2 linked regions of the Lytechinus pictus genome follow. The protein of the gene in region 2 purifies or fractionates together with the protein of the main gene of each other region. This does not show direct contact. Links are inferred from orthologs where the notes say so. Each region holds a gene or a part of one and is shown on either strand. Other genes may lie near its edges. The genes, in order: dual specificity tyrosine-phosphorylation-regulated kinase 2-like and E3 ubiquitin-protein ligase UBR5-like.

Evidence for each region.
Region 1: the proteins of E3 ubiquitin-protein ligase UBR5-like (region 2) and dual specificity tyrosine-phosphorylation-regulated kinase 2-like purify together in Homo sapiens (affinity purification with western blotting; 3 studies listed by BioGRID and IntAct, with this or other methods). This does not show direct contact. The link is inferred for Lytechinus pictus from reciprocal best matches to the Homo sapiens genes UBR5 and DYRK2.

The regions. Positions count from the first base shown.
Region 1 is NC_087247.1:78,632,223-78,648,062, forward strand, and holds dual specificity tyrosine-phosphorylation-regulated kinase 2-like, read right to left. Parts: upstream 8,084-15,840; 5' UTR 7,226-8,083; coding exon 5,540-7,225; 3' UTR 274-5,539; downstream 1-273. UniProt on the Homo sapiens protein: Serine/threonine-protein kinase involved in the regulation of the mitotic cell cycle, cell proliferation, apoptosis, organization of the cytoskeleton and neurite outgrowth. Functions in part via its role in ubiquitin-dependent proteasomal protein degradation.
Region 2 is NC_087245.1:27,707,731-27,723,565, reverse strand, and holds the start of E3 ubiquitin-protein ligase UBR5-like, read right to left. Parts: upstream 7,496-15,835; coding exon 7,434-7,495; intron 5,704-7,433; coding exon 5,659-5,703; intron 4,762-5,658; coding exon 4,680-4,761; intron 3,984-4,679; coding exon 3,901-3,983; intron 3,522-3,900; coding exon 3,387-3,521; intron 2,965-3,386; coding exon 2,727-2,964; intron 2,226-2,726; coding exon 1,991-2,225; intron 745-1,990; coding exon 530-744; intron 1-529. UniProt on the Homo sapiens protein: E3 ubiquitin-protein ligase involved in different protein quality control pathways in the cytoplasm and nucleus. Mainly acts as a ubiquitin chain elongator that extends pre-ubiquitinated substrates.

The sequences.
Region 1 (15,840 bases), on a different chromosome or scaffold from region 2:
TTAGCATCATTTCTCGACTTCCACACAAAGCTATTGAATGTTAAGAAAAGAATTAACTGCCGACATTCAAAAGAAACCATGTATGGTTTATACATTAGATTTTCACCGTTGTATTACAGATGTTGTATGTAAATATGTGATCAGTTTTTCCAATCCGAAAGCAGCCCTTTTTTCGGTCATCCAAATTTCCAAGTCCAGCACATAAGGTAACAGCTAAATGTCTCCGCTTTATATAGGATATACAGAACAAAGAAAATATGACATCAAAAAGGATTTTCTTTCTTTTTTTTTTCTTTAATTCCAAGTTCTTCAGAAGAGCTTGAGTCAGAAAACATTGTAGGATACGCATTTATCAATGGATTTCCCACATTCTTTCTACACAAGTACAAAAGAAAAAATATTATAGTAATCACATCAATGCATCTTACAAAGTAGTGAGTAAAATATGAAATTCACTGAAAATTGTGGCATTTGCATGAATACACAATATTTAAATAACAATCTTGATATCTATCTTTATACATACATGTAAAATTCTTGTACTGTACAAAGGCCACATAATATGCAATAATGTTCTGTACAATTTATATATATAATTATATGGGCCATATGGTAATAAATCCGACTTAAAATATACTAATAAAGAGACTGGACTATTAAGTTTAGTACAAGCTCTAAGTTACACTGTACATGTAAAACCAGTCCAATCAAGATTCTTATTGAACAGTGAACATCAGATTTCCCTTTTCATTCATTTCATTGGCAACTGTTTTCAAATTAGTACAAAATGTGCTTTGGTACATAATTCATGAAGGCAGCGCATATAATTCTAAGCAACAAGAAAATGTACTAGCATTTAATGGGTTGGTTACTACTATAATAGCATACAGTTTATAGAGATACATGTAGTATAGGGTTACAGGCTATAATACTACTTTTATACTTCATGGCTCCATCTTCATTGCATTGCACAGCTAAACACTTCATCGCAACCTGATTTTACGGTAATCAAATGAAGTTGATTCATTGGTAATAAAAGTTACATTCTGAAGAATTCTCCTAAAATTGGAGGACATGCACTTCCATTTGTCATTTTTTTCTTCTTGCAACACGCACAAGGACTTTTGAGAAAAATCTAAAAATACTGGGGCAGAGTTGTAGAATACATTCATATGACATATGCAAAGACAAAATACACCATGTATAATTCTACACAATATGAAAAGACAGTTAATACATAGGTTGGGAAAATTAGTTACATCAAACCACCTACATTTCAGCTTTCCAAGTTAACAAGTTAAATCAAAGTTACTAATTCAGCCTTCAGATAATTACACACCATTGACACTAACTACACACATATGCAATGAAGTACAGGTCAGTAAATTCAAATGATTTAGAGAAGTTTTTAAAGTTGGTTTTAGTAGAGGGGTAACACCGACACAAGCCTCAACACCAAACTTTAAATGTATGTAATTTACCCATCAAACATCATTCGATTACACCAGCCCAATGGAACAGGGAAAATTCATTATTTCAGAATCAAGTCCAATATCAGTGTTAGTTCTTGAGTCTCAAGACCATGAAACTAATTTCATTTAAAATCAAAATGACGGCAACTGCACAGAATTATTTCATAGAATACAATTTTCTCTAATAATTTTGACTTTCAAAAGTTCTCTATATCCTTTATGAAGAATATACTAGTATACCATTTCTCAAAAATTCTTTGTCAGATTTTGAGCTTGAACTGGTACAATCACAGTGCTCAGATGTGACACCATTGGTATTAGAGCACAGATGAGAGGTCTGAATCCCGCATCACCATGAAGACAGTATTCAAATTCAAAACTTACAGTGTACATATCTATACATGCACACCTCTTTTATGTACTTGTATCATAATCACATCTAACTTGTTTCCTGAATACAGCAATTTTTTTTTAATCGACCTGAAATATGCAAAAATCTGACAGTAACGGCTTATTCTATATTTTCAACTCTTTTTGGAGAAAAATAAAAATGATGGCATGAAAACTGCTAAAATTGTAAATGTCTATATACATTTTAAAAAATTACCACAATTCAAAGGGTTTTTTAAAAGCGGGTGAATAAAAGCTGTCCTGCAGCTTTGTATGTGTTGTCATAAATATAAGAATTGTTCATAGATATCTGGGTTTCAATAAAATACAAATACCATTGCAGGTAATGTAATAAGAAAACCAACCCAGTCAAGTGATGTTTGATAAAATAACAAAGGCCAACAAGATTAGGAAATTCATTCTACCACAAAAAAAGGGGGGGGGGGGGGTAACATGTACATGAAAAGGACAATGTACAGGAAAAGATCACTTTTTAAATAAAAGCAACCGTCTCTTACTTGAAATTTACAAACCCTTACAAGACTTGCACAATAAGGGTACAGTTTTCAACATTATGATAAGTGTTGAATGATAATTCAACACCTACAACTTGACATAAAACAACTGATATTTTTTCACCCTTTTTTGGCAAAACATTTATTGATATACCTTTTCCTAAAGTTTGCAAAGCTAAAAAGAAGCAGTGTTCAAGTTTTTAAATATGTAAGTATTCCAAAATGAGTACGGTACATCAAGGTGACAACATTCATAACAGATTCACACATTAACATTAGAACCTGAACAAATTAATATCAAATAAATCAATTGCAGCAACCAGATGTCAATATAATTCATATCACACCCATGATGAAGTGCAAAAATTAAATAGATACACAACATGCTTCTGAACTCTGTTCCTATCCCTATGTATATGACTGTGTGAACTACACCTGTGTGTTTTCTTGTACAGAGATCAATAACAGATGATGCTAATTAGGATGCAACACCTGGTTGAATAGAAAGTTAACCATCAGTTGGTGTTCAGAGCTTATCCTAAAGATCTAGAATAAGACAGGTGGATAGTGTAGAATATCCCAAAGGTCAATGCATTCCTGTCTGGCACTGTCATCAGTATCACTATCACCTACTCTACATATCAACCTGATCAATGTTGATTACTCATAACTCTGTGTGTACAAGGACCAACCATGTAGGCTTCATATGGCTCACAGTGACATGCTACTGAGCAGCTTTACAATGGACTACACACAATCATAGGAAATGGAAAATGAAATCCCAAGTAGGGCTACAGTGGATGATGTAATCTACAGTCATAGTATAGCTCTATGGTTATACAAAGGGCTGCATGTTTGCCAGTTTACTCACAGTACTATGAAAGCTTAATTTCAATGAGGGTACAATATGTATATATACATGCACATGTACTTTAGTACTAATGCGAGTAAAAGTCTGAAATTGGGACTCATTAATTATACACCAATTAACATTTTGAACACATAAAAGGTAGCAATTTCTCAAGAAGGTGAACAACTAATTCACTCAAAACAAACCACATTGGACTGAATAAGAAGTAAACAATTAACATTCAGATACAAGTCAACTTTATACAAAAGGACAATCACTAAATGCATGTGGATTGTGGTTTTCAATGTTTAATAATAATTTAACTTCTTATATTGAAACGTTCAATTCGGTCTGAAATGATTTTACTTGGAAAAGTTGAACCTTTGATATGAATATGAGTAAATGAATGCGTAATAAAAGAAGAATTTGTGAATGACATATCAAAACAAATTGTCTCTTTATTCTTAAAAGAATGGCTCACTACCTAATGTACATGTAATGCTATCATACAAGTACATGTACTTATACATGTACTTGTACATGCATTACAATGTGCTCGGTCTTCTGGCTTGCAATATGAAAGAAAGCCAAGATCAGATGTAGTTTGGCACACTCTCAAAACACCTTCTAACTAAGCCTCACAAACTATACTTGCCTGTACACCACACAGAGCACATGCTATTTCCTTCATAATTAATACCTGGCACTGCATACAGGCATTCATTAACAGTGCACTGTTTCTCTTCTTGGCAGATGAGAAAACACGTTGTTCTAGAGGTATGGGGCACACTCACAAGTGTTTGTAGTCTGTAGTGTAATACAGCAAATTTGAGGAAGTGCAAATTTTTTCAAATCAATGACTACAGAACATGCTTGTCATACATCACAATCCATCATCAAACAAAATGTGCCAAAGCTTCAATAGTCATTTGAATCAATTGGTAAGGTGAATCAGATAACAAATGAAGAAAATAACAATGAACCAGCAAGTCAGCAACTCTATATAAAAGGGAAACAAATACATTACTATAAATGGATAATCTCCAAACATTCCTTTTGTCCACTCACGGGTAATGATGAATAAAAGAAACTAAATTTATACATAGATACATGTAGATATTTGCTGAGCCTGGAACCTGTAGTTTGCCATCAAATAGTAACTATCATGGTTCCAATGCTAAGCAACCAATCAAGAGTAAAGGATTCTGGGAAATTACCAAAGGATGGCAACTTTATCATATGTGCAACATGGCCCCAGATATTCAATGCAATGATGAACTTGATACTGACAAATCTTGGCAACAAGCACTGTTGATTACATGTCTTTTTTTTAACATCTTTACTAGCATCAGAAATAAGCAGATCACTTCTATAAAACTATGATCAACATTTGACACATCCATCAAAACTGATCAATCAAAGAAAAATAGAGCAAACCATGCATTGTTTTTTTTTTCAATGCATATAAACATTCACAAAAATGTAGGAAAGCGCATGTTGAAAATGGAATTAAATTTCTAGGGCAAAGCTTTTCCAAATTTCCACTGCAAAGCACCCAAGAGACCCAATACAGAAGAGCACATTCAAGATATGTTCAATTACCGGTAAATTAAAATGTATATCACTGCTTTGTCAGTGACTTACATGTGCAACATCTTAATACAGTTCAACTAACAACATGGACGGATACTCTTTGAATGCTTAAATCTATTGTGAAGTTTCTGCAGCTATGCAGCTTCATGTTTATTTTATTTTGCACATAAAGCAAAATCAACAAGGAATACATGGAATGTATGTGTATACCCACTTTAACATACAAACATACTGTATTGTAAAGTTCTATACCTGCATAACAACTTATTTTTCCTTTTCTTTTATTTCTCTTTGTATGAGGTAAAACAGTTTGATTTAAATGCGTCAGTCAAATGTTCATTAAATATCTCCACCCTCCACACCAACAGCAAGTAAACAAATACACTGGTTTTGGCACCAATTCAATTAGCAACAATAAATCATTTGAACCTACATGTAATCTATGCTGGAAATGTTGCTCAGCTGCACCTGCAGTCACCAAAGCTCGAGATACATGTACATGTAAGGCATCAAATTCAACAAAATATCTGCAAGGATCAGATGCATATAACTTTTATCTAGACACTGTAAACCACTTGTGGCACTGAGGTGACACACACAGCAAATTATGGCTAGATTGTTACTTGCTTTATCCTTCCAAAGCAAGGAATCCCATTTCTTCATTTCAGAAAGAGGACCAATCCAACCTCTTTTCAAAATCAGGCAGGATATGTGTGACACTATGTTACTATTTTTGGTAGAACAGTCCGTTGCGATACATCTTGCCTGTCTTTACCAGCTGCACCAGTGGGAGGAAGCTTAGACACTGCAGAAGAGCCATGACGTTTATTTTTGGCCGAGGTGGTGTTTGTATGACTATCTGCAGGTGGCTTTGGTAGACGGCGACGAAGCCAAGAGTGACGGAGGGCTTGACTTGGAGTCATACGACTTGATGGATCCCACTCGAGACATCGTTTCAGGAAATCAAGAAAGAGCGGATCATCACATCCTTTCAGTGCCTTCACAAGATCCTTGCTCCCTGGTGGACCACGCACCTTCCCTCTACGAGATCGGCCACCGTTAAGCACTGTAGTTCCATCAGGAAGTGTAGTAACAGTACAATAACGTGGCTGACCTTTGGAGTTGATGAAGTTCTTGGATCTCTTTGATGTGTCAATGAGATTCTGTGAGGGCATGCCCATGAGTTCAATCATGCAGGCCAACTGATCACCCTCATCTTCACCAGGTAGCAGCGGGTAACCTGTAAGAAGCTCGGCCAAGATGCAGCCTAAGCTCCACATGTCAATGGGCATGCCATATTTCCCTCCTAAGATAACCTCTGGCGCTCTATAGAAGCGGCTCTGGATGTATGTGTAGATTCGTTGATGCTCATAGCAGCTGGAACCAAAATCAATCACTTTGATTCCACTCCTTCCCTGTTGTTTTAGCAGAATGTTCTCTGGCTTAAGATCACAATGAATAATCTTATTCCGGTGAAGTCCTTCAAGGCACTGAAGAAGAGAGTGAGCAAACTTCCGGACAAGTTGTAGACTGAAACCCTGGAACTTGTTTTTCTTGATGAGTTCATACAAGTTCATGCTTAGAAGTTCAAATGTGATGCATATGTGATTACGGAATGAGAAGCTCTCAAACATGTGAATGAGATTCATATTATTGTCTTTGTCTTGTTTACGTAGGTGTTCCAAGATTCTAATTTCTTCCTGGGCTTGACGATGGAAACGTTTTTCATTGCGCACCATTTTCACAGCAACATGCTGATTTGTCTTATGATCATAAACTTTCACAACTTGTCCAAAGCTACCTTTTCCAAGTATTTTCAACACTTCATAACGATACGCGACATGATCATGTTGCACATGGATGTATGAACCTTGATCATCGTCATATCCACAATTGTTCGCTCCACCAATTACTCCTTGCCGTTTCTTTGCATTCGGTCCAACAAAATAAATATGTGGGTAGTTAAATATTTCATGATGTTCATATGAAGTGAGTTTGTGCATGTACAATTTCATGCTTTCTTCTGGTGTCATTGGTAGCGCTCTTCCTTTAGCAGATCCATTTTTCGATCCATCGCTTGCAGGACGTTTGACATCAGGCAGAGCATTTGCATCATGTGATAAATGACCATTCGCTATCACTTTATTTTGCACTTGCCTTTTATAGTTATGATTATCGTCCGTTTCAAAGAGCTGTGTAACCTGCAAACCGGCTGGGACATTTTCGTTGGTTTTCTTGACAGCCCCGAGTGTGTGGCTCTTGATCGGGGGGAGCTCGACGTGCGAGCCATGTCCGTGGTGCGGGTAGAGAGCCGTGGTAGCTGTGTCTCCCTGCGTCAAGGACCGGGTCCTCGACGCCTGTAAATTAGACTTTCTTGAAATTGTATCAACCATCGAGTCAACCATATCGTTCCTCTTTAGAGAAAGTAGAAGTCAGCGTTACATTCCGAGCTTAAAATCCATTTTTAACACGTTTTCTGGAGCAATAATTTTCCTTCGGTGCTGTATTCAATATGGCTGCATAATGACCGGGAAAGCGACACCATGGAATGTGCCCTTTGTTGCTATAGAGATACACTGAGTGCTAGCTTGTTTACAACGTCACCATTAGCGTGACGTTTCTTGCCAACTATAGAACACATGATCACAAAGCGCCAATCAAAGAGTCTGTTCGAGCTTATTTGCATAATAAAGTGAAGAAGATTTTTGCTTCTCTTTTGTTGATGGAGACAAAATCGATGCTTCCACAATATGAAATCCTTTTGTATATCTCTAGACTATCTCGACTGTACAAGGTTTGGAACAAAAAATCGAGTTTACTTCAATAGAAAATTTTGATAAAAATTAAAACACAAAATCATATTGTCAGATTTCGGGGAGAACGGTTGGGGTCAGGGAAAATTACGCTTCATCAAGGAGCTTCATATATCCGCAGTAGTAGTGCCTAATTGGGCCTGGCTGCATGAGTTTGTGCAATATTTTTGTTTACAGCATTTTAGAGACATGAGCAAGCCCTATAGGCCTATTTTGGATAGGGCCTCTCTAATTAAGTTACAATCCTAGTTTCCCTTTTGGTCCTAAAGCAATTATTGCTATTCAGCATTTAAACTTATGTGATGTAGGCTTAGGGACGCACCATTAGATATCCAGGGGGCTGGAAGTTTTTTCCCAAAAAAATTGACTCGCCATCAGAGTAAAAAAAAAAAAAAAAAAATTGGTTCACTGACAAATCATCTGAATGGGGGGGGGGGGACTTGTCTCAATGGACTAAGGAAAAAAAGAAAGGGGAAAAATTGCATCAACCCAAACTTCAAGCCCCCCCCCCCTGGGTATTTAATGGTGCGTCCCTTATGTTTGGTTTTGAATAAATCCATTCATTCACTCATGCCAATATTATTTGAATTGATCTTTTTAAAGATATATAATATAGATTCTTTAATATTTTACATATTCGGGATTGACTAATTCTTTCATCGCATATGATGTAATAAATTCAAAAGAAAGTAGGTCAACCAATAAGTAGGCTACTCCAGGCTGAAAATCATATTGTTTGAACATGTAAAGGGAAAGTGGGGACATGAAATCATCAGCCCACCTAATAACTACTAGTATTCGTGTGTACCTGTTTTCACAAAATATTTATAATCTTTAAAGTTCAATAACTTTGTCATACTTGACATCTGATTTTAATATAAAAAAATCAACATTTTCTGTGGTCTAGTGGTTTAGACTTTTGTCTTCTGAGGGACGTGGGTTCGATAATAAGCCAAAGTGTACGTGTTTTCCTTCAGCAAGAAATTTACCCACATTGTGCTGCACTCAACCCAGGTGAAGCGAATGGTTACCTTGTAACTATGAATTTATTCCCTTGAAAACACACACGTTATTTGTTTCTTCTCTCGGTTAATTTACTCTAGATAAGTTATTTAGATATACTTATTTTCAGCCCAGAGTCCTGCCCCTTTCAGGCATCAAGAATTCCGGAAGACAAGAACATGAATTAAAGTGGAGTAGAGTTAGGTACTTATTAACCAGAGAAATGCTCGATATAAATGTATAGTTGAGGGTGGTTTAGGGGGCTTTACGATTGCGGCTAGCTTTAAAGGGCCAAGCCCCCCCCCCCCCCCCCAACAAAAGTTGATTTTGATAAAGTTGATTTGATCAAAATCGAAAGTTGTGACATTTAAAAGTTTTAACATAAGAGCTAGTGAAGTGCACATCTTGGTCGTATAATTGGCCTGTAAACATGAGGGAGATGATGACGTCCCGAATGACGTCACCCACACACTTCTTGAGTGGGATATGGCCCCACGCCCCCCCCCCCCCGCATCAATATACTCCAGGCTGTCTGAGAACATATGCAGTTACATTTCGTAATTCCGAAGATTCGTTATTCCGAAGGTTCGTAATTCCGAAACACGTAAATTGCCTATACCTCGATGTTCGTTAATCCGAAAACGAAAAAGGGTTCGTTGTTCCGAAGGTTCGTACGTTAATCCGAAAAGGAAATAAGGTTCTTTATTCCGAAGGAGGAAAAACCTATAGAACTGAATACAGAGGCATAACATGCCTACATTCAGAAACTTCCCCAGGTATCCCTAGGAAGGTTCGTTAATCCGAAAGAGGAAATAATCGGTGGCGATCGAAGCCGGGAAACCCGGGAAGATAAGAGTGGCCAGGCGCGGTTCCAAGGGGGGGGGGAGCGCTAGCCGACCCCCTATTTTTTGGCAATAAAAAAAAGTCCTTTTTAACTTGAGAGAAACGCTGAAAAACAGAAAGAAAAGTACGAAGGAGGTATTATACACATGTTTAATTTACGGCCTCGTAACTGCCGGCCCGATCCCCACCGTAGACCTATACTCATTACTCGCAGTGGCACCGCATTCTGTTGCATGGTTCAACAGTCATGTAAGCAAAACCACGCTATACCGCAACTGACATTCCCCTGCACTCCATCAACGGCCGATTTAATAGCTCTGCATAGGAGGATTACCATAAGCGCACAAGTAGGCCGTAATACAATATTTAAAAAAATACTTAAAATGTCCGGTTTTCAGGCCTTAATATCAACAGATTTCGAGCTCTCATTAATATCAGATTGATAAATAAGGTAACAGTTTCATGAATTCCTAATAATGAAGTTGTACGTCCCTTTTTCAGAGTGGAATATTTCAGCTGATCGCGCTCGCGCATTAGGCCTATTGATAATTCATAGTAAATGTATTTAGAATTCACAGATTCTATTTTTTGGGGGTCTAAATCTTAAAAACAGACTCACACAATAGATACGCAGTTTGTTCTTAATTCAAAACGTGCTTGAATTATCCAGTTTCATATCAGAATGTCAAAATTTTCTTCTCGCGCTTCGCATTATTAATATAGGAAGATGCCAAATTTTAGTCATCCTTTTCGTGATTTACGAACCATGAAAAGTGTGTCCCATTTTTAGGTCAAATCTCTTTTTCTCGCATGAAGTTATATAGTTATATATCTATCCTGTTTATGATGACAAAAAAGTGCTTAGAATGTCAAATTTTTAGGTCAAAATGTCAAAAATTTTCAGCTCGCGCTTCGCGCTCGCATTATTTGATTGATGAAGTTTAATCGTTTTCATGGGTAACTGCAAACAGTCCTTAATGTCTGTTTTCCCATCAGGCCAGAACGTATGTTTTGAATTTCTGATTGCGATTCGCGCTCGCAGTGATTTTTACATAAACATCTTGTTGATCGCAATCATTGCTCAGAATGTTCAATTTTCAGGACAAAATACATAACATTTTCTTAAAAATTAGCTCGCGCTTCACGCTCGTACTATTCAATTCGGGCTTATATGAGTATGAGATTGATATTTATTTATGTTTTGTGAGGTTAAAGGTATTGTTTAACTTTGTGAGCAGCCGATTTAAAAAATTCTCAAACGAAGATGAAAAATGTGTTTACAAGTGCATGTATTAGAACTAATAAACCCTGAAAACAACCATTATTGAGAATGAAAAGCTAAAACTACAAGGCAAACCCCGATTTTGTGGTTCTAGGACAACTACCCCCTGGACAATCACCCCCCGGACAATAACCCCCCGAGGACAATTACCCCCCGGACAACTACCCCCGGACAATTACACCCTGAGGACAATTACCCCCGGACAATTACCCCCCGAGGACAACTACCCCCCCCCCCCCGAGGACAATTACCTTCAGAAAATCCCCCCTTCTCTCCAGCATCAAATGTTAGAATTAAGCGGGACCCATTGTAAGTTTTGGTCGGTGGCACAGGTTTCCGAAATATTTTCTACTTTACCTTACGTTCATAACTTTTTCTTTCTCTTTTATATTGCTCTTTCTCCTGTTCTCTCACTTTCTACTTTTTTCCTTTTTTGTTTTTGTTTAGCGGCGCCTTCTACATCATGAAAAATGGGGGGGGGGGGCTTGCACCCGAAACCTCCCGTTTGGCTATGCATATATACATCAGAAAATTTGTAAACTGGCCCTCATTCTAAGTTTTCATAGAACAATTGAACACGATTAGTCATAATAATCACAAATGCTGAATATCTCTGATTCCAACTGATCTGATTTTTTTAAATATTTATTTTGGGTTTGATTTCAGGTAAGAAATCAGGCAAATAGATAAAACGTAAAAAAGAGGTAGAAATAGGTAGAAATATTGAAAGTCGTTAACGCAACTATCAACACTAACACTCCTATAAATCTGTTATTTTAAAACAGTTCAACTAACAAGAAGCTAAGAATTATGAAACAATTGGTGCACATTCCAGATTAAGATGTGGCTTTATAACTTAATACAGTAAGCTAAAAAACTTTATGCAAAGATAATACACACAAGAACACCTTGTAAATTACAAGGTGTTTTTGTGTGTTTTATTCTTGGGTGAAAGCAATTAAACATTAAAGAAGGAAATTAAGTACCAAATTTACTAAATTGTAAACAATATGACATAATCAATTACAGTGTTTTTTCTATACAAATTGGCAATCATGATAGTATACAATTCGTTTAAGGTGCATTTTAAGGACAGTTTGGAAGAATTTATAAAGAAGTAGGCCTATGCAAATCAAGTAATGCGACCGAGCACCGTGAGCTGAAAATATTAATATTTAGACCATAAAATGGACATTTTACAGAGCACTTGAAAAATCAATTTGTAAATTTAAAAATAATGAAAGCTCGATATCCGAGATGAAATATGTTTTGTATATTGACTTCGAAACTTGATATTTTAAGCTCCATATCAGCCTATATTGAGCAAGATATTAATCTCATCGAAAAAGCATTGCGCGCGCAAAGCGCGAGCGGAAAATACTTGATATTCCGGTATGAAAATGGTGAATTTGAGCACTATCTAAAGCATTGTGTAGGGAAATTGTGAAGTGGATATGGAAAGCACTTAATAAATGATGCGAGTGTGAAGCGCGAGCTGATATCTTCATTATTATTTTTTAACCTAGGACCTGGACATTCTAGGTCTAAGGACATTTTGTCATCATATGAAAATGATGACAACTTTGTTATTCCTCTTCCTGAGCGCGATATGAAACATATGAAACTGTGATATTGTCGATATTCTTTTCTGAAAAGGGATAATTTAGTCATTAAGAATTCATGAAAATTTTATTATCATATTTATTAATGTAATAAGCCTAAATGAGTGAGTAAAATGTGTTGACACTGAGGCCTGAAAACTGGATATTTTAAGCACTTTTGTAATCATGAATAGGATTTGTGAGTTGATATATTTTTTTTAAAATGCGAGCGCAAATCGTGAGACGAAATTTTTGGTAAACTGTCATAAAAGGGGGGTTTTAAGTTGTTTGTTATATAATTTGGCAAATCAAATAATGCGAGCGCATAGCGCAAGCTGCAAGTTATATTCACACCATAAAACAGACATTAAACAGAGCACTTAAAAATCAGTTTGTAAATCAAACAAAATAATGAAATATGCTTTGTAATATCGACTTCAAAACTTGACATTTTAAGCTACATATCAGCCTATTTAGCAAGATGTGTATCTCATCGAACAGGCTATGCGAGCGCGAGCGACAAAAATATAGTGACATGAATATTTTTTAATCATTTTCCAAGTCATCCCCTGACCTTTTTTTTTTCACTCGTCTCCCTCCTCTTATTTTACCTATTTTTCCTCCTTTCTTTCCCCTTCTTTTTCTTTTTTTCTTTCTTTCCCCTTCTTTTTCTTTTTTTCTTTCTTTCCCCCTTTTTTTTTCTTCATTTTTTTGCTCTGCTGATAGGGGGGGGGGGGGGGCCGGGCCTCTCGGCCCCCCCCCTGGATCCGCCTTTGGATGGAGCTCAATTTTACAGCTTTCTTACGGCGTACGTTTGATTCCAAGATACTCGAGAATGCCTTTGAGTACTTCTTACGTCAAACGTACGGCCGACCTGTGCACTCCCTTTGTCTAGGGAGTAATTGTCCGGGGGGTAGTTGTCCGGGGGGTAGTTGTCCGGGGGGTAATTGTCAGGGGGTAGTTGTCCGGGGGTAGTTGTCCGGGGGGTAATTGTCCGGGGGGTAGTTGTCCGGGGGTAATTGTCCGAGGGGTAGTTGTCCGGGGGGTAGTTGTCCGGGGGTAGTTGTCCGGGGGGTAATTGTCCTCGGGGGGTAATTGTCCGGGGGGTAGTTGTCCGGGGGTGATTGTCCAGGGGGTAGTTGTCCTGATACCTAGTAAATAGGCGTCTTATAGACGCCTAAATAGTACACATATTAGTGTATGGGATGAAATTAAGATGGTGTTTTCGGTCACTTTATATTTCAATTTTTGAAGCACTAAATAATTATTTTCGAACGCAATTTTTTCTGGGCTTCATTTTTGTAATATATCACAGACACATGGTGACAAGTGTGACCTTCTAGCTCAGATTTTTCTAAAGTCAAACCAAAGTGACTGTTATAGGAATAACCCTTCAATAAAAATCAACTTTGAGCGGCCGATCGGGCAAAATATGGGTACAATTCCCCCCCCCCCCCTATTGGCGAAAGCTGGATCCGCCCCTGGCGGAAGGAGGTGGGGGGGGGGGGGGAGAGAAACACCGCTGCTGTTCAATTGTTATGAGGATGGAGAGTCAAAAGGGCGGTGGAGCAATTTAAGTAGAGTAAAGTAGAGCGAAGCCTTCTTACTTTTACCTTATTAAAAATAAATAACAAAAAAAATTGGGATTTTCTCATCTAAATGTTACTTTAAAAAGGCTATTTTCATTTCGAAAACGGCACATTTCATTTTGAAAAAAACAAGGGAAATTCCCATTTTGAAAAAAATAGTATTTCGTTCCTACAGGGATTTTTTTTTAGGGGGGTGCAAGTGATGACACCTGCCCACCCCCCCCCCCCGCGCTTTCACCGCACCTGTGGGAAGGGGCTGATCTGTCGTTACCAGGGGCGTTTACGTACGCAGAATTCTCTCAAAGGGATCATTATAGGCTTATGAGGCTAGTTCAAATTTTTCCCTCATTCATTTAAACATAGATAAATGTAACATGATACAAAGGTACAAGGACCAAACTGAACATGTTTATAATAATTACAACATACACAAAAAAAGACTACTGAACATCAAACAAATACAATATAAATGCATTCAACGAGAAAACTACTATTAAAAAAAAACATTAAAGCATAATTATTATCAGAAAGTCAAAAAGGGGCCTAAGCTTTCGATCCTAGCAGAATCTTCGTCGGAGGCAAAATGACAAACATATAAAGTGGAACAACCATAATATAGACCACAAACAAGCTACAGCAACACTAGAAACAAGGAGACAAAAGGGGCATTAGTGAGTAGAGAAGACCAATCAGGTTAGTGAAGGGGATGAAAGAAAAGGAGTAGGCAGACACAAAGGGAAGTTAGTGTAAGTAAGGCCAGTAAAAGACCTCAAGCCAAGAGGGATTAAGATAATGAGGCAGGCAACATCAAACAGGATCTGGAACAAAACAGTGATAATGGGATGAATAACAAGAGAATTAGTGAGAGGTGGGTCAAACAGGTTACAAAGAAAGGCATAATAAACTGGTGCATAAGAGTGGGGGAAAAAAAGAAAAGAATGGGGAACAACTGATAATGTGCAAAAGACATATAAGTATATATGATAAAGCATTAAACAAACTAAGAGAAGAAGGTAAGTGTAAATATGTATCTATAAGTGATATGTATATAAATATATCCAAAAAAGAAATGTATATGAAAAAATATAAATACACATATGGTGTAACTGATATTGTAATCCGCTAGGTGTGACGGGAAAAAAAAAGATTATATAGTAGGAAAAAAATAATAATTATCATAAAAGTTATCAAATCATATATCGCTTAGGGCGTGTTGATGCATTTTGAAATTCAAAATGTCCACTAAAAGATAAATTTTTGATTAAATGTTTACCACTTATAAACCTTTAAAAAAAATTGCTTTGCGCGGGGGGGGGGTGATTGTTTGGACCAGAATAGGGGTGATTAAAAACCTCAACCCCCCCCCCCCCTTTTGGCTGAGGTGGGGCAAAAATGCAATCCGCAGCCATCATAACCAGCTTTTCGAAATGAGGGGAAGGGGCACACATTTCACATTAAATTTACATGTGTATGGATATAATACACATTTAATTATACAGATGTGGATCGAGCTTTTGCCAATAAGGGGGGGGGGGGGATTTCATTCACATTTCACCAAACGGCTATTCATACCTTTTTTTCTTTGAAGGGGTAGCAAACAGTGACTTGTTAGTCAAGTGCGAAGTGCGAACTGAAATTTTGGATAAACTGTCATAGGGATTTTAAGTAAATTGTTATAGAATTCATATAGAAGTAAATACTAATGAAAATGCAAGCACGCAGCGCCAGCTGATAAGTTTTTACGATCAGACCTGATTAAGGAATATTATGAAAACTTCATGGAATACATGAATAGAATAATTACTTCAAACGAACCTTATTTTATTTTCGGATTAACGAACCTTACTTCGTTTCAGACTAACGAACTTTCGGATAAATGAACCTCTTTTT
Region 2 (15,835 bases):
AAAAATAAAAATAAATAAATAATAATAAAAATAAATGATTCAGTATACACTGTATACAGAAATCATAAAACGATTAAACATATATATATACAAAGAGAAATTAATAAACACATTTACATATCAAGTTCTGAATTACATTACTTTGGGAAAAAACGAATGAATACAATTTGAACTTGTGAAGCTCAAACATACCTTGTTATATCATTAAAAAAATGTGAAGTCATAAGTGCATATGAAAATTTAAAAAAACATGCTTCATCTCTGACAGATTTAGGACACAAATAACTGATGCTTACATGTACATGCTCAGGATATTAAAATAGTTTTTAAACCAGACCTAGATCTATCATGATATGGTGAAAATTTCAAACACTTTCTTCAGTTTCTTGTGAAGTCATTACTTGCTGTAAGTACAGGTTTTTGATTTCAATTACTTCCAATTTGTCATTGTTTTTATGTGATGCAATGTCAATTTTAAAATAAGTTTTTAAAGGGGAGGGGGAAGGTCAGATACTATTAGCTATCCTACCTTTTCTGACCACCATTCTAGATCCTCTCCAATAACCACAGGGTTCTGGCTGTGCCCTGCAGCTCCCCCACGTCTGCTATCTGATGTTCCTGCTGCCTCAGAGCTACCAGCCTTCATGTTACTAGCTCCTGATCCAGTGTCTCGGAGTACAATCTCGGGCCAGCGCCGCTCCCGGCTACGCAGCAGTGGATCTCGCTCAGCATCACGATCACGATCTACATGTACATATGCAAGATAAAAGCAAACAAGTGGAATGCCTCTGGCCGTCTCACCTGCATCACGCGATTCAATATAGCAGCAGTGCTGATTTTGAAAACTACTATAACTCGCACAAGATGTTCAGTGATACTTGGTTACTCTTATTTCCACGTTTTATGAACTAGACCAATACACTTATAGAGATATGATGGCAATTCAACAAATACCCCCAACGTGGCCAAAGTTCTTTGACCTTACATGACCTTTGACCTTGATCATGTGACCTGAAACTCGCACAGGATGTTCAGTGATACTTGATTACTCTTATGTCCAAGTTTTATGAACTAGACCAACACACTTTCAAATTTATGGCTGTAATTCAACAAATACCCCAATTTGGCCAAAGTTCATTGACCCTAAATGACCTTTGACCTTGATCATGTGACCTGAAACTTGCACAGGGTGTTCAGTAATACTTGATTACTATTATGTCCAAGTTTTCTGAATCAGATCCATAAACTTTCAAAGTTATGATGGTAATTCAACAGATACCCCCAATTCGGCCAAAGTTCGTTGACCCTAAATGACCTTTGACCTTGGTCATGTGACGTGAAACTCATGCAGGATGTTTAGTGATACTTGATTAACCTTATGTATAAGTTTCATGAACTAGGTCCATATATTTTCTAAGTTATGATGACATTTCAAAAACTTAACCTTAGGTTAAGATTTTGATGTTGATTCCCCCCAACATGGTCTAAGTTCATTGACCCTAAATGACCTTTGACCTTGGTCATGTGACATGAAACTCAGGCAGGATGTTCAGTAATACTTGATTAACCTTATGGCCAAGTTTCATGAACTAGGTCCATATACTTTCTAAGTTATGCTGTCATTTCAAAAACTTAACCTCAGGTTAAGATTTGGTGTTGACGCCGCCGCCGCCGTCGCCGTCGGAAAAGCGGCGCCTATAGTCTCACTCTGCTATGCAGGTGAGACAATATACCATTGGATTTGAATAAATGATCCTTATTAGCAAACTTGCATTGCAACAATTTACCAGTGAAAATTTACACAAGACAGAAGATATTTTATGAAATGTCTTTCCCTGCAGTTGTTAAGTGCTGAACACACTGATCTTTTTCTTGTACCTTTACTGCCATAGTCTCTTGTTCTGATGGAGGAAGACCTAGGACCTATAAGAAAATAAATATTTACAACACGGATCCCGGCAAAATTACCACATAAGAACAATTAAGTTACCTCTACTGCTGGAGCCTCTAGCTCTGGACCTCGATGGCGGTAGGCCCAAGAACTCCTCCGAGAACATGGCGTCAGCATCAATGATGACGCTTGGATGATCCGAGTGGATACCACCATCCAAGAGTGAGACAAGGTCATCACCACCAGACAGATAGGTGTCATTCTCCTCAGGATCTTCACCATCTTCATCATCACGGCTCAACAGGTTGTTGACTGCCAGGTTGACATCCAGGTTCTATTCAAAGACATTGGGGGAACAATGCATGAATTGTATCATAGATGAACATATAAATGTATGCATCATTAACATGAAGATATTAAAACAAGGTTTCCTAAAGTGCTTAATAATATGATATCAATGCAAGGGCTGCTGCAGGATAAAACTGTCAAATAAACTTACCATAAAAAAAACGCCCCACAGTGACTACATTTAAGGTAAAGCAACTGGAATTAGTCAAATTTTATCAGATATTTTAAACCAAGTAACTGAAATTAGATGCAACAATGATGGATTATTTGTACATTTCTATAAATACTGTAATCAATTCAAAATCAAATTTCAGCAATGCTCCTCTATGTAATAACATGTAGGAGAGAAAAAAAATGAACAGAATATTCACAACAAAGAGTGGAATTCATGTGTACTATCGACCAGGAAAGATAATTATCTTCTGGAAATTTTAACGGGTATAGCACATTTTCTGTGTTGCATTAGAATTTGTCCTACAGTACTTACAGTCCTTTGGAGCTCCCTGATGATGACCGACCTGCTCTTGCCCTGTAGGACTACCTGTGCCTGGGACACCAGTTCTTCAGGGACAACAGATGCTGGGACAACTGGCCTGGTACCCACTATCACCCCACCACGACCTCGAGAGTGAGCACGGATGACACGCCCTCGATTACGGGAAGCACTGGAGTTGTTGTTTGATGTTGTGCGATTGGATGGGGTACGGCAATTAGAGGACCATTTACTATAAAAAATAAAGATATAATTTGACATAGATTATGTTCAACAAGTGTTCAAGAGGGATACATCTCAAAAGGTATTGGTAAACGTTGATTTGACTTTTAAAAATCTTCGCTGGAAGGTCCCATTTATTACCTGCGTCTGTGATGTATTGTAAATATCAAGCCCTGAAAAATTGCATCTGAAAAGCATCATTCAGTGCTTCACAAAGTGAATAAATAAAGTGACCAGAAACAACCTCCCAATTCTATTCCTTATATTACATGAGCTACATGTGCAATCAAGATCTTCAAGCAGTGAAATTAAATGATGATTTTTCAGTCACAGATATCTTGAAAGTGTCTACCTAAAGTAAATTTTTAGTTCTACATGAATTGGTTTTCTATCCATGCGTAAAATATATAAAATAATATTTTAATTTCTCACCTAGACGAAACTCCAGAAGGTTCATCGGCATTGATGAGCCAAGGGTTAAGAGGATTAGTAGGCCTCGACGATGATGATGATGATGAAGAACGAGCGGAAGATAACTGAGCAGAGGAGGCCCAGCTCTTCTTGCTGCTATAAAAAAAAAATCAAAATGAGTAGTATATCTTACATGGGGCATCTTTTCATACACCCTGTAATATAATTTGCATGCATAACTATCAATAAGAATTTTACAAATGCATGCATAATATGCTTTCCCTGATCAAAGCCCACCTACCCAACACTAAAAATAGCATCATGTATGTAAAACTGTCTGTGTGCACACGGTTAAAAAAAAAACATTATACAACTGAACAATTGATATTATTTGTTGTAACAGTAAAAGAAACAACTTAATCACATTTATGGTTACCGGTACATGCGATTCAATTGAATAATTTGCCCAATTAATTGAGTGGAAACATATCTCATTGATATGAATAGAAATCAATCATACTGAAAGGGATCTTACCTTTTGGAGCTTTCATTCTTAGTTGGACCACTGTCGACTTTCTCAGGGTTGATTGAGAATCCCATACGACATACACGACCATCCTATGTGAAGGAATTATAGAGTTGTAGGTTAATACGTATCATGACCAATACATATAATCATCATCATCATCATCAATAACGCCATCATCCTTATCATCACCCCTGCCACTACTATCACCAACATCACAGCCAAAATCACTATCAGCTATTTGTACACCATCATCATCACTATCATCAATATCCTCATCATCAATATCATCATCAACAATATTATTACTATCATCATCCATACAATCGCTTTCCGACTACGTTTGACACATCATGAGACAACTGGTTATTTCTTCTACTCAATCCTTCACCACGATGAACCTTTCCCATATCATCATCAATACCATCATCACCTTCATCATCATCATCACTACCACCACCACCAGCATCATCACTATCATCAATACCCTCACCAACATCCTCATAGCCAAATTTACTATCACCTACACCACACATCACCATCATTGATAACATCATCATCACCATTTGTAAAACAATCATTAGAAGCAGCAGCATTATCATCATCATCATCAATCATCATCATCATCATTAATCAATTCAAGCTAGCAAGCCCTAAGTTATCAAATCTGATCCTTTCTGTGAAGCCTTTGGTTTTGATTGGCAGAGAAATATGAATGTCTGGCAGGTGATAATGGTAACTGACAGAGAATGACAAATCCTTAATGCTGTATGAAACCGCAGTCTTACCTCAAGAAGAAAAGCTGCATGATTTGGTCCAACAGTTATGCTTTTCACTGGAAGGTTTTTCAGGGGTAAAACTCCTGAAGCACTGTAAAAATGAAAGATGGGATGGATCACATTTATCACTGTTCATCACACTGAGTCATGGCAGGCAGCTATTTGACATCTCCAATATAATAAAATGGTACTAACAGTAGAGCCCAACTTTTCAATAGTTGTCAGATTGATAGATAAGGGAAAATTGGCATGAAACTAATTTTTTTTTTTTTTATTGTCATACTCTCGTCAAAAGGTCTTTGAGAGATTTGATATTCCATTAATTTTTTCTGGTGGCCTTATAAGGAAAAACAATAAATGATCACATATCATCAATTTCTATGAAGCACTAGAAGCATCCAAACAACCAATTCCCCACACAGCTGTGCACAATGTGAATACCATTTATTCTCTGTGCTTCTTTTTTTTAATCAGTACCACTGCATCAAACTCATTATTAATATTAATGTCTACAGAACTTTATCAAATTTCAACAAATTTTGCTAAAAATCTAAATGTTATGTAGGCCTATGTCTGAAATTCATAACTCAGAGACAATTTTACTGTTTTGTTTTTTCCTCTAATGAAATATTATGTTGGAAAAGCGATGCATGTCTCATTCTCAGGCAAAAATTTGTTGTTGTTTTTTAGGCTACTTTTCACAACTTACTGCCTAAATCTGCAAACATTGGATAAGCTTTAACATTGCAAGGAATGGGGATTTCCAGGGCTCTTGTGAGCATTTCCGAGGCGAAATCGCCCCAGCCCACATGTAATTTTTTTTCCGTCACTCTGCTATGCAGCCGAGAAAAAAAGGGCACCAAAAATATCTAAGGCCAATGTCAATGAGAAGGGCTTCGACGCCAATCAAAAGGGCATCCAAAAGGCAATATCCTTGTTGGCCTTGGATTAATTTTAGCCCTGAAAAGGGGATCACACAGACACTTACCATGGTGCTGGTTGCCTGTACAGTTTCTCAGATAACTCTCTCAATCTGTTAAATTTAAAGAAATAAGAAACAAAGAGCATTAAAAATGCAATCACTTATATCCCCTCTTTTCTTTAATTGTCTCCAATAAGTCAGGCATAATGTTTTGGCTATTAGTTTTTCATATACAGTGTATTTTTTATTTAGAGCTATGTATAAATGTATTTTGTTACAGTTTGCAATCATGTCAAATATCTTAGTATTTTTCCAAATGAAAAAAAAAGACTTTTACACTTAAAAGAAGTTTACCCAAGTTGGAAATAACAAGCTTATTTTAACAAAGAGAGAACAAATCCAACAAGCTTAAGGGCAATTCCATAGGTTGGTGGACATTAGCTTAAAAATTCAAATTCGATATACTGCCCATCTGAACTGTACATTTTAATTGTGTTTGCCTTACTTATACTTATTGCTGGTTCTTTAATTGATGTTGAGGTCTTGAGGCAAGAAATGGAATGCATTTGTTTTACATTTTTTGATTTACACAGCCCAAGCCAGATCTCGTACAGTTTAGTGAATACATTACCAATATACTGACCAATAAGTATAAAAAGAGAGGAGGAAACTTATTCAGAATGTTACCTTTAAACACAAACTGGTGTCTGAAATCCTACTCATATTATTACAGAAACAGAAACATGAATCTTACACACATTATTGAATTTTTAGTGACATTTATGTTGTTGACCATACATGGACAAAATGTAACGTAACCGTAATGTGAGTAACCACTTTATCTGCACCCCTAGTAAAAACCATGTGCTCTTTATTTTTGAATTATATACAAAGTTTGTCTCCCTAATATACTTCTTTGAAATGGATATAATCAACTTTCATAAAAGCCTTGTATGAGGACACTTTTCACTTACGTCGACTTTTCATTTTATGCATGTCCAAATAATGTAACATGAGTAACCGACACATTTCAAAGATTTGACAGGAGCATAATAAAATTTCCCACGTTTTGTTTTTGTACGAAGGATAGTCAGACTGTGTACTTTGTTGTGATAAAGAGATGTTTAGTTCCTGTCAATAATAATGGAGTTACAGCTCCAAGTATGAGTCAAGGTGTCTCCAAATGTAACGTGGGTAACCGTGGAATAGCCCTTAACATACATTTCATCAAAATCAGATGTGAATAAAAATACATTTTTTATAAACTCCCTATTTCCACAAAACAGTTATATAACAGTGATTTATAAGCAAGAGTCCGAGATGTCATTCAATCATTATTTTTGTATTCCATCAAATTAAATATATTTTCATTCCCTTTTTTAAGATTTTACAATAAGAGAGACTCTTCACCAGATCACTGATAGGCTACAAAAGCCAATTAATGTTTAAATAGGAATAAAATTTTGTTTGACAATATCAAAAAATTGAATTACATGTACATCATGAAAATATTATTTAACAAATAGTTAATGGGTAATAGGCCTGGGAGTAAAATTCGATCCATCGAAGCATTCGATCAGTTTGCCAACAATCGGCACTCGAATGTTACTTTTTACACTAATCGAATGTTCGCCAGATGATGATTACTGATTTGAAACATTCGATTATCAAAAGTACATGACTGTAAACTTAGATTTTTGAAAACAAAGTGCAAGATATCAAATGAAAATTATGCTAAAATTAACGAATTCCAAAGATCGTATCTCTTTCATGACACACAATGACGACTAAGCCGCGGCGACCGCGCACAATTCAGATGTGTTGGGCTGATGTGCACGTACGTCTCTATAGGCGCTGTGCTGGACGCACTGAGTCGGGTGAGCTCAGTTTGCTCATTATACATTGTATGTGATCACAGCCACGCCCAATAACCATTCCAAAAGCACTAACAAATACGCCCATATTGTCATAATAGTTAACTTGTACGCGAATCCTCTGAATCAGTCCTGAGAAGCCACACCTCAGTATCGAACTTGCTATATTATGATGGGTATGGCCTAGTGAGGGGGTTTCCCAATGACAAATTCGGTGCAAAAGCACTACAAATACTGCACATACATTCCCACTAATTCCCACCCTATGGGCGGGATGTCAGCACAAGTACGAAATGCAATACACACAACGTTCTCGCCAGGTTCACTCTGACGCTTGGCGGCGCGAAGCGACGCAAGCCGCGCAGCGCCCTCGGTGCGTGCGAAGCACGCACGGGGGGGAGGGTTCGGGAGGGGGGTGTCCCCCCTCCCGCGCAAAGCGCGGTAGCTGTCGAAAATATCAATATCGACGAGCTTAGATTGCTGCTAAATGCACCACATTTTAAGTCTATTTAATGCTTCTCCGACCACACAGCCGTAACGGTTGCGCGAATTGCGATTGAAGCAGAAAGGCAATTACTGATAACTTAAAAATTGAAGTCAATCTCATTTTATACTTACAGTTTATAGACTATTTACATCGATAAATTAACTCCATACTTTCCAATGTTCAGATCGATATCGCTACATCCTTAGAAAGTGCGATTAATTTTGTGAATGCGTGTTGTTTCTTATGTCAATGACCGACTGCATCTACGGACCGCATGCGTAGCCCTTTGAGCTTGCATCTACGGACCGCATGCGTAGCCCTTTGAGCTTGCGCTGCGTCACGCCCTTACTAAATCCAAAGATTGTTCCGACTTTATACCTCGGTCACATTTGTTCTACGGCGGCCGTACGGCGAGTCGAAAACATTTTTTGTACCAGCTGAATATAGGTGGTTACCGTGGTTTGAATAAAAATGAATAAAACGGCTGTTTTCGACTCGCCGTAGAGCAAATGTGACGGAGGTATTATTTGGAAGCCTCGGAAGTTTTCTTCCGAGGCTTCCAAATAATGGGCATCGGTATTCATGAGACGGGGTCCCCAACTTATATAATTTGCATGGTTTTTTGTTTGGTTTATTCGATACTCACTGAAACTATAACTCTCATAAGACTTCTGTTGATGATGTTTATACTAATAATTTCCAATCGAGATTCTTTTATCACTGTCAATTATTGCTGTGTTCCTTTGTATTGTTCGTTACTCACCTATAAAATAATGAATGTGCTCATCACGAGCGTGAGAAATATTTTTAGTCATTCATTATACTGTAATATTACGAATTTGTTTTTCTTAACTGCGATTTAAAATGTTTTGAAAGTATAGGTTAATTGACAGGAAATAAGATTTATATTTTTACATAATACATTATGTAGGCCTACAAATACAGCGTGTGTGAAAGAGAGGAAGAGGGGTGGGGTTGTATGATGGTCGAAGGGAGAGAGCGATAGGGGAGGGGTCGTGACGTGGACAATAACAAGGGGATGTTGAGATCGTGTGTGTGGGATTGGTGAAGAAGTCAATATTCAAAGCGAATACATTTTTATAGACGTGTCTATACTTCTACCGATGATGACGGCCGAATAATCTTTCTTACATGTATATTTTGGTGAATTAAAAAAATATTTTCTTGCACCATGAGTGGGATGATCGAGGTACGTGATTCAATAAATTGCATCACAATATCACTATAGGTGTAGTTTGAAAATCACGAACAGTTTATTAAAAATGAATAAAAGAGAAAGATCCTCTTAATTTTATAGCCCCCATCCAGCGTCAACACCATGAAGAGTTTTTGAGGTCACGAAATCAGCTGATTCGCACTCAAACAACAGGTTAACAGGTCACACACGTGGGACACGTTCCAAGGGCGGGAATTCGGGGAAACCCGTTTTCAAGCACAATGATTGGCTCAACCCAGAAAGTGAATACTAATTAGATCACGTGCCATCGGCTTTGGGGCGTCTCGTTCACATTCCAACTCATTTCATAAATATCATCCACTCGCAGTATAATTAGGCTAACGACGTTGCCAAGATATAACTCATATATTAAAAACACAATTCCGATATAAAACAATAAAGACATAAGTGAACTTGAAAAATTCATCCAACGATATTCAAATTATACTAGCAACTCATTGTGGACGTGAAAAAACGATATACATATCCGATATCCTCTAAAACGTTCACACATATCAACTTCAATAATTCGTACTTGAAACGAATATCTGTGAATGAATTGCCAATTCCACTTTGTTGAATGTGTACTTCTATCGAAATCTATTGAATCACGTACCTCTCCCGACCCAAGGTGGATTTTCCAATCGCCATAAATATTATGCAGCCACAATCACAGTAGACACATCCATAAATGAATATTAATTTCATTCGCTACGAACTTAAAGGAGAATGAAACTCTTGGAGCAAGTTAGCTTTTGTGAAAGCAGAAAAATCAAAGAATAAGATCAACAAAATTTTGAGTAAAATAGGACGACTAGCAATAGAATAGTTATGAGCATTTGAATGTCGAGATCACTGATGCTATGGAGATCCTCCCATTGGCAATGCAACCAAGATCTATGATGTCACAGATGAACAACTCTCCCCTTTTGGACACTACAAATATACCCCAAAACATCTCTTTTTGCTCATTCTAATCATATGACAAACGATTCATCAATGATATAATGTTGTGAAACCTCTGTACTTGTCCTCTCATAAAGAGAACACCTCACCTTGTGATAGACTCTATAAAAGTGAGAATATCAGTGAAATAAGTACTTAATCCCCTCCCCACAAAGTCACAAACATCCCATCATTTTCATCTACATTGCCCACGGCCACCCCCCATTCTCTTTTTTCCTTTACACAAATTAATTTCAAATGATATGTTGTTTTAAATCGTAGTTAAGCAATTGTACAACAAATTCATAAAGCATTCATGTGATGACTAAAAACATTTCTCAGGCCCGCGACAGGTGCGCTCATTATTTAATTGGCAGGCAAAGAGTAATAAAGAACAATACAAATGAAAATACACTGTACGTATAACTCACATTAAAAAAATGAGTCGTAATGATAAAAAATGTGAATAATATTAATAAAGATTATTAATTATGAAAATTATAACAGATTCAATGAATATATGAAAAAAATGAAATTAAATTAGTTTTGGATTCCATCTAATTTTGGAAGACTATCGGATCCCCGGATCAAGGATTTTGATGCCATGTGCGATTTGTATTATGAATGTGACCGTTGCGAGCGCGAATGCAGTGGCACAGAACTTGGTAGACACGCCGTCGCGAAATTAATCAACAGTTTCAAACGATCGACGTAGAGATCAAGACTTTGGAAATAATGGAGTAAAATCGGAATTTAAATGTGAATAAATCATTTTGATGTAAGTAAATGAGTTGGACATTATATCAATCCATTCCATTGGCTTTGTCATTATTAACATGATCTTTGAATAGTTTTTCTCAATTCGCTCTACGGCAGTGTCATCAGAAATGCATTCAATGAATTCATGTAGATGTAGCTATAAAGGCTGGGGCCTGGGACGAGATGAAACTATATTTCGATCGAATTTTGATAGTAATTTTGACACACTTTATTTTTGACATAATAAGTGACAATATCAAATGAAATTCGTAATAATCTAAGGCGGGACGTCAATATCCGGGAGGGGTGTGCAAACGCGTTTGCACGCCCTCATTACTTTTCATGCACGGGCTTGCACGCCACGAAGTTAATGAGGTTGAATTTGCATATCAATAGAGCACCCTTGCGATCATCGCGGAGTGACATAACGAGCCCGTGCAGTCGCGTTCTGGCACTTCTATTGTTCCCGGGCATTGGGCTGGCAAGCCTAGAGGAATTTATTGGCGCGTGTAGAGAAGTTCCTTACCTCAATTGTTTGCCGTGAAATGTTGTGAGGGTGCAACTACTAGTATAATGAATGACGATGTGTGCCGTAATTAATTGGTTGGAAGGCGTGACAAGTATTCAAAGGGACAAGAACCTGGACGGAAAAATTTTGCTCCGGCGAATCGCTTATTCATGCTTACACCTTCGTCACATTTGCTATACGGCGGCCGTACGGCGAGTCAATAACAGCCGTTTTAACATTTTATGTACGAGCTACATAATGTGGTTTGTATAAAAATGAATAAAACGGCTGCATTCGACTCGCCGTACGGCCGCCCTAGAGCAAATGTGACCAAGGTATTAGTACCTGATGATGTGAGCTTCCAAAAATATGTATATAATTCCCGTAAATTCCTGACAAAGATGGAAAGGGAAATAAATTTTGTTTTGGCTACCAGCGGAAGTAAAATGCGATCCGTCAAAGCGTTCGATCAACCGCGGCGACCGCGCACAACGTCTACAGGCGCTGGACCCACTGAATCAGCTTGCAGAGCTCTGTTCGCTCCTGAAGATGTGACTACAACCGTGCCTATAATAATTCCAAAAGCGCTGACAAATACGGCCGCATTGTCACTGGTACGTGATTCCTCCGAATTAGTCCTCAGAAAAGTTTAGTCACGACTCAGTATCGTTCTTGCGGTGTACCCGCACGCTTAATATCAGTTTAGATACCATGTGCGCGCAAGCATACACAATACAAGGTACTTGAGGCAGAGCTTTGCCGCTATGAAACAATCTTCTCTTTACGCTACGTATAGCTCCAATAGCTCTAGCTTTTGCAGTAGCGTACGCAGAATTTTTGAAAGGTAGAGTTCGAGTTCAATGAAAATTTGACAGAGGTTTTCACTCCCCCCCCCCCCCAATTAGGTCTTTTCATAAAAACAAAATTACAAGCAATTTTTTTTTTATCTAAGTGGAGGGGGGGGGTGAACTCCTGCAACATTCCCTGACCTTACCTCGGTCATTTTTGCTCTATGACGGCCGTGCGGCGAGTCAAAAACAACCGTTTTAACATTTTTTTTTGTAATAGCTACAAACACGTGGTCTGAATAAAAATGGATAAAACAGGTGTTTCAAACTCACTGTACGGCCGCCGTAGAGCAAATATGACCGAGGCATTAGGAACGCAAAATCATGAGGATGGAAACTTGGATAAAGCAATGTACATTATTCAATATTTGTTATGACTTCTCTTAATATCATGAAATGGCTGAGCAAATTACTTGTATATTTCTTAAAATAACTCAAAATGATGAAGAAACGAGTATTGATTTGAAATTATGAAATGATGAAGATTGACTTGCATTTTTACATTACAAATGTTTATTTTGCTTCTCAAATGGGGGGCATGGACCGACTGTGCCCCCCTGCATCCTCCAATGCTCATGGGTACTAGCATTCGTATTTATGCATACAACTTGTTGAAATCCTCATCCATTCCCATTTCCCAGTCATGTTCAGTTCTTAATCTCCTTTGTTATTCGTTCTTTGAGTAGTTCGTAGTGGTCAAGAATTTGTTTAAATTATTCTCAAGACCCCAATGCACTTGAGTTACTTCGTTTTAGGAAAGATAACTCTTAAAGTCCCTTTGAAGCTTTGAAGTGAATGCCCTGGAGCGACTTGAATGGGTTCGATTAACTAACACCGTCTCGCACGTGTTGCGAACAAAGAAGGTGTGAAAATTACAATTAACAACTAACAATAGGAAGAATCCGTTTCAACTGAAGTTACGCAACGATCTCTGATAATCTCTAATTGTGCTTTCTTGACCCCAATGAATCCTCCCAAACCACATTGTCCAATGACGGAACTACTACAAGTAGTCAGCGTTTGTGAAAACGGAATGATGATCGAGGATGATATAATGGTGATGGTAATAATGATGTTGGTGATAATGAAGAAGGATAAGGAGGATGAGGATGAAAGCGATGGTAATGATGATGACGATAATAACATTTTTTTGTTTTTTAATCTATAAACATAATGATGTGTGAATAAAAAAAGACATTATGATCGTGATGATGACATCGAAAAGAAAGGTAATGATGGCTGATTATAATAATGGTGATGATTATGATTGTAATCCCAACGATGATGGCAATGACAAGAATGGTGATAATAATAATTATAATGTTGTTATAATGGTGATGGTAATAATGATGGTAATTGATCACGAGAATATTTATTACGACAAGATTGATGATTATGGTAGCAATATAGTGATGATCAGAGGATAATATTTTGCTGTGGGGGACAATAATGATGCACCCTATGAACAAAGGATATATCCTCTGCTCCGCCGCCCGCGGTGATGATTTATTAATGTTTTATGATGATGACGGTGATAATGACAGTGATGAAGGTGCTGAGATTAATTATGATAATAATCCTAGTTTTGATGATTACAATGATTATGATTATGGCGATTGTGATGGCATGACAGTGGGGGAAGGGGCATGCTTGTCGAGATTGAATTTCATTTGAAAATTAAAGGTAGGTCCTAGACTGAACAGTTTCATGAGTGTTTCTCACCAAGGCGAACTTCTACTTCAAGCTAATTACGGAGCTGCAACTCTCTTTAGTTGGTTCGAGATTCGACCCATGAACCTCATATACAGAGAACGAATGATCAATAACCAGGTAACATAATGGTATACGATGTCAATTATGGACGAATTTTTCTCCTTATGTCTATTTATCGTATGGTTGACATCACAATGAGGCAAAATTTGATTGCATGGTGACTTCTTAAAAAAAATCCTAAGTTTGGGATTTTTAAGGGGAAGGTAACACTTATGCTGGATTTTCCCCAACAAATATGATTTTTTAATCTTGTAAGAATGATGGTTGAGTGAACAGGAATTGTAAATTTAGTGTAGCCTATTCATCTTGTAGACCTAAGCAGTGTGTTTTGTGAGTCAGAGTAATGTGATGGTACCTGTTACAAGCGAGAGGGCGAGATATGGTAAGACTTGGTTGAAAGGGCATTCATCATCTTTTTGTCATTTTACAAATAAAATTCTTATGTATCTCCACCCCCCTCAATTTCCCAGACCCCTCTCACTTCCTGGATGGTAGCCTATTCAAAACTTATTTGCCACTGAAGTGACCAGTGGCTGATAGTAATTTTTTTCTTCTTTTTATTGAATGATTACCAAGAAATTGACTTGATTATAATTTATGAAATACTTTATTGAAAAACTGAATGTTTGATTGATTACATTGCCCATTGAAATAGTTGATTTATTGATAAATTGTTGATTGATAGGAAAAGTTGATGCCCCAATTATCATTATAATTAAATTAACATTCTGCTCTGGACTTCACGCGTACATGACAATAAAAATCAGTCACTCAACAGAAGGGGTGGGCGAGAGAGAGGGAGGGGGGCTAAAATGTTCTGTTGACCCCTTTTCCATCAACCTACTTCTCCCACTTACGTCAAATCTCACCCCCTATTTTCCTGACTCCAATGAACACATTGCTGAGAGCCACATGATAATGTTGAAATGTTGCCCAAGATGTGTAATTTTGTGTAATTTATGTGTAATTTTTGTTCAATTTAATAATTCATGAAACTTGCTTAAACATTCATAACTGGTTGATCAATAATTTATCACAACGCCCTTAACATTGCAAGTTCCAAAGCCAAATGATTTGCCCCTCAAAAACTGACAAAAAATGGAAGGCTAATTCCAGCCCAGCATAATTATCATACCATTTGTTTCAGTAGGCAGTGTTCGCTCAATCGTGATAGTATTTCAACTTTTTGGTGTCATATGAAAGTTGATTTTAATGGCTTCCATAACATGCAAGTCTTTCCCCCCAAAGTGATATATTTTTTATTTGGCAGCCATTTCAAAAGTGTATAGTTTTTTTTTGTGGGGGCGCACTGTGGTAGTAGAAGGGAATAGTTATGCCCGTAAAAGAAAAAAATTATAAAATAACCAGAGAACCAAATAAACGAAAAATCCATACTCCACAACCCGAGCCTCAAAATAGAGGCTCTTCAAAAGTCCGACAAATGCAGAACTTGCTCTTGTATAAGTGACTCGACCCTGGCCTGGTACTTCTCCAATACCCAGTAGAGTCGAGACGACGCGTCGCGACGGTTGGCCGTGGATCTACAGGTAGTCAACGGGGGTCAAAGCTTGTGCAGTCGGAGGCAGTCGGAGGCAGCCGGACTTGTGCAAAACAATTCCACTCACAATTTTACGATTGGAAGCCAGCATTAAGAGAAATGTAACAAAGTCGGGTACAAATACATATTTCTAATACCGGTAGATATAAAACTTTAATGCATGACTGATTACGACCCTTTATGTGATAATCACTTCTCTTCAAGTCGGATCTGACTTTTAGATAATAGATAATCTACACATTTTCGTTTCACGA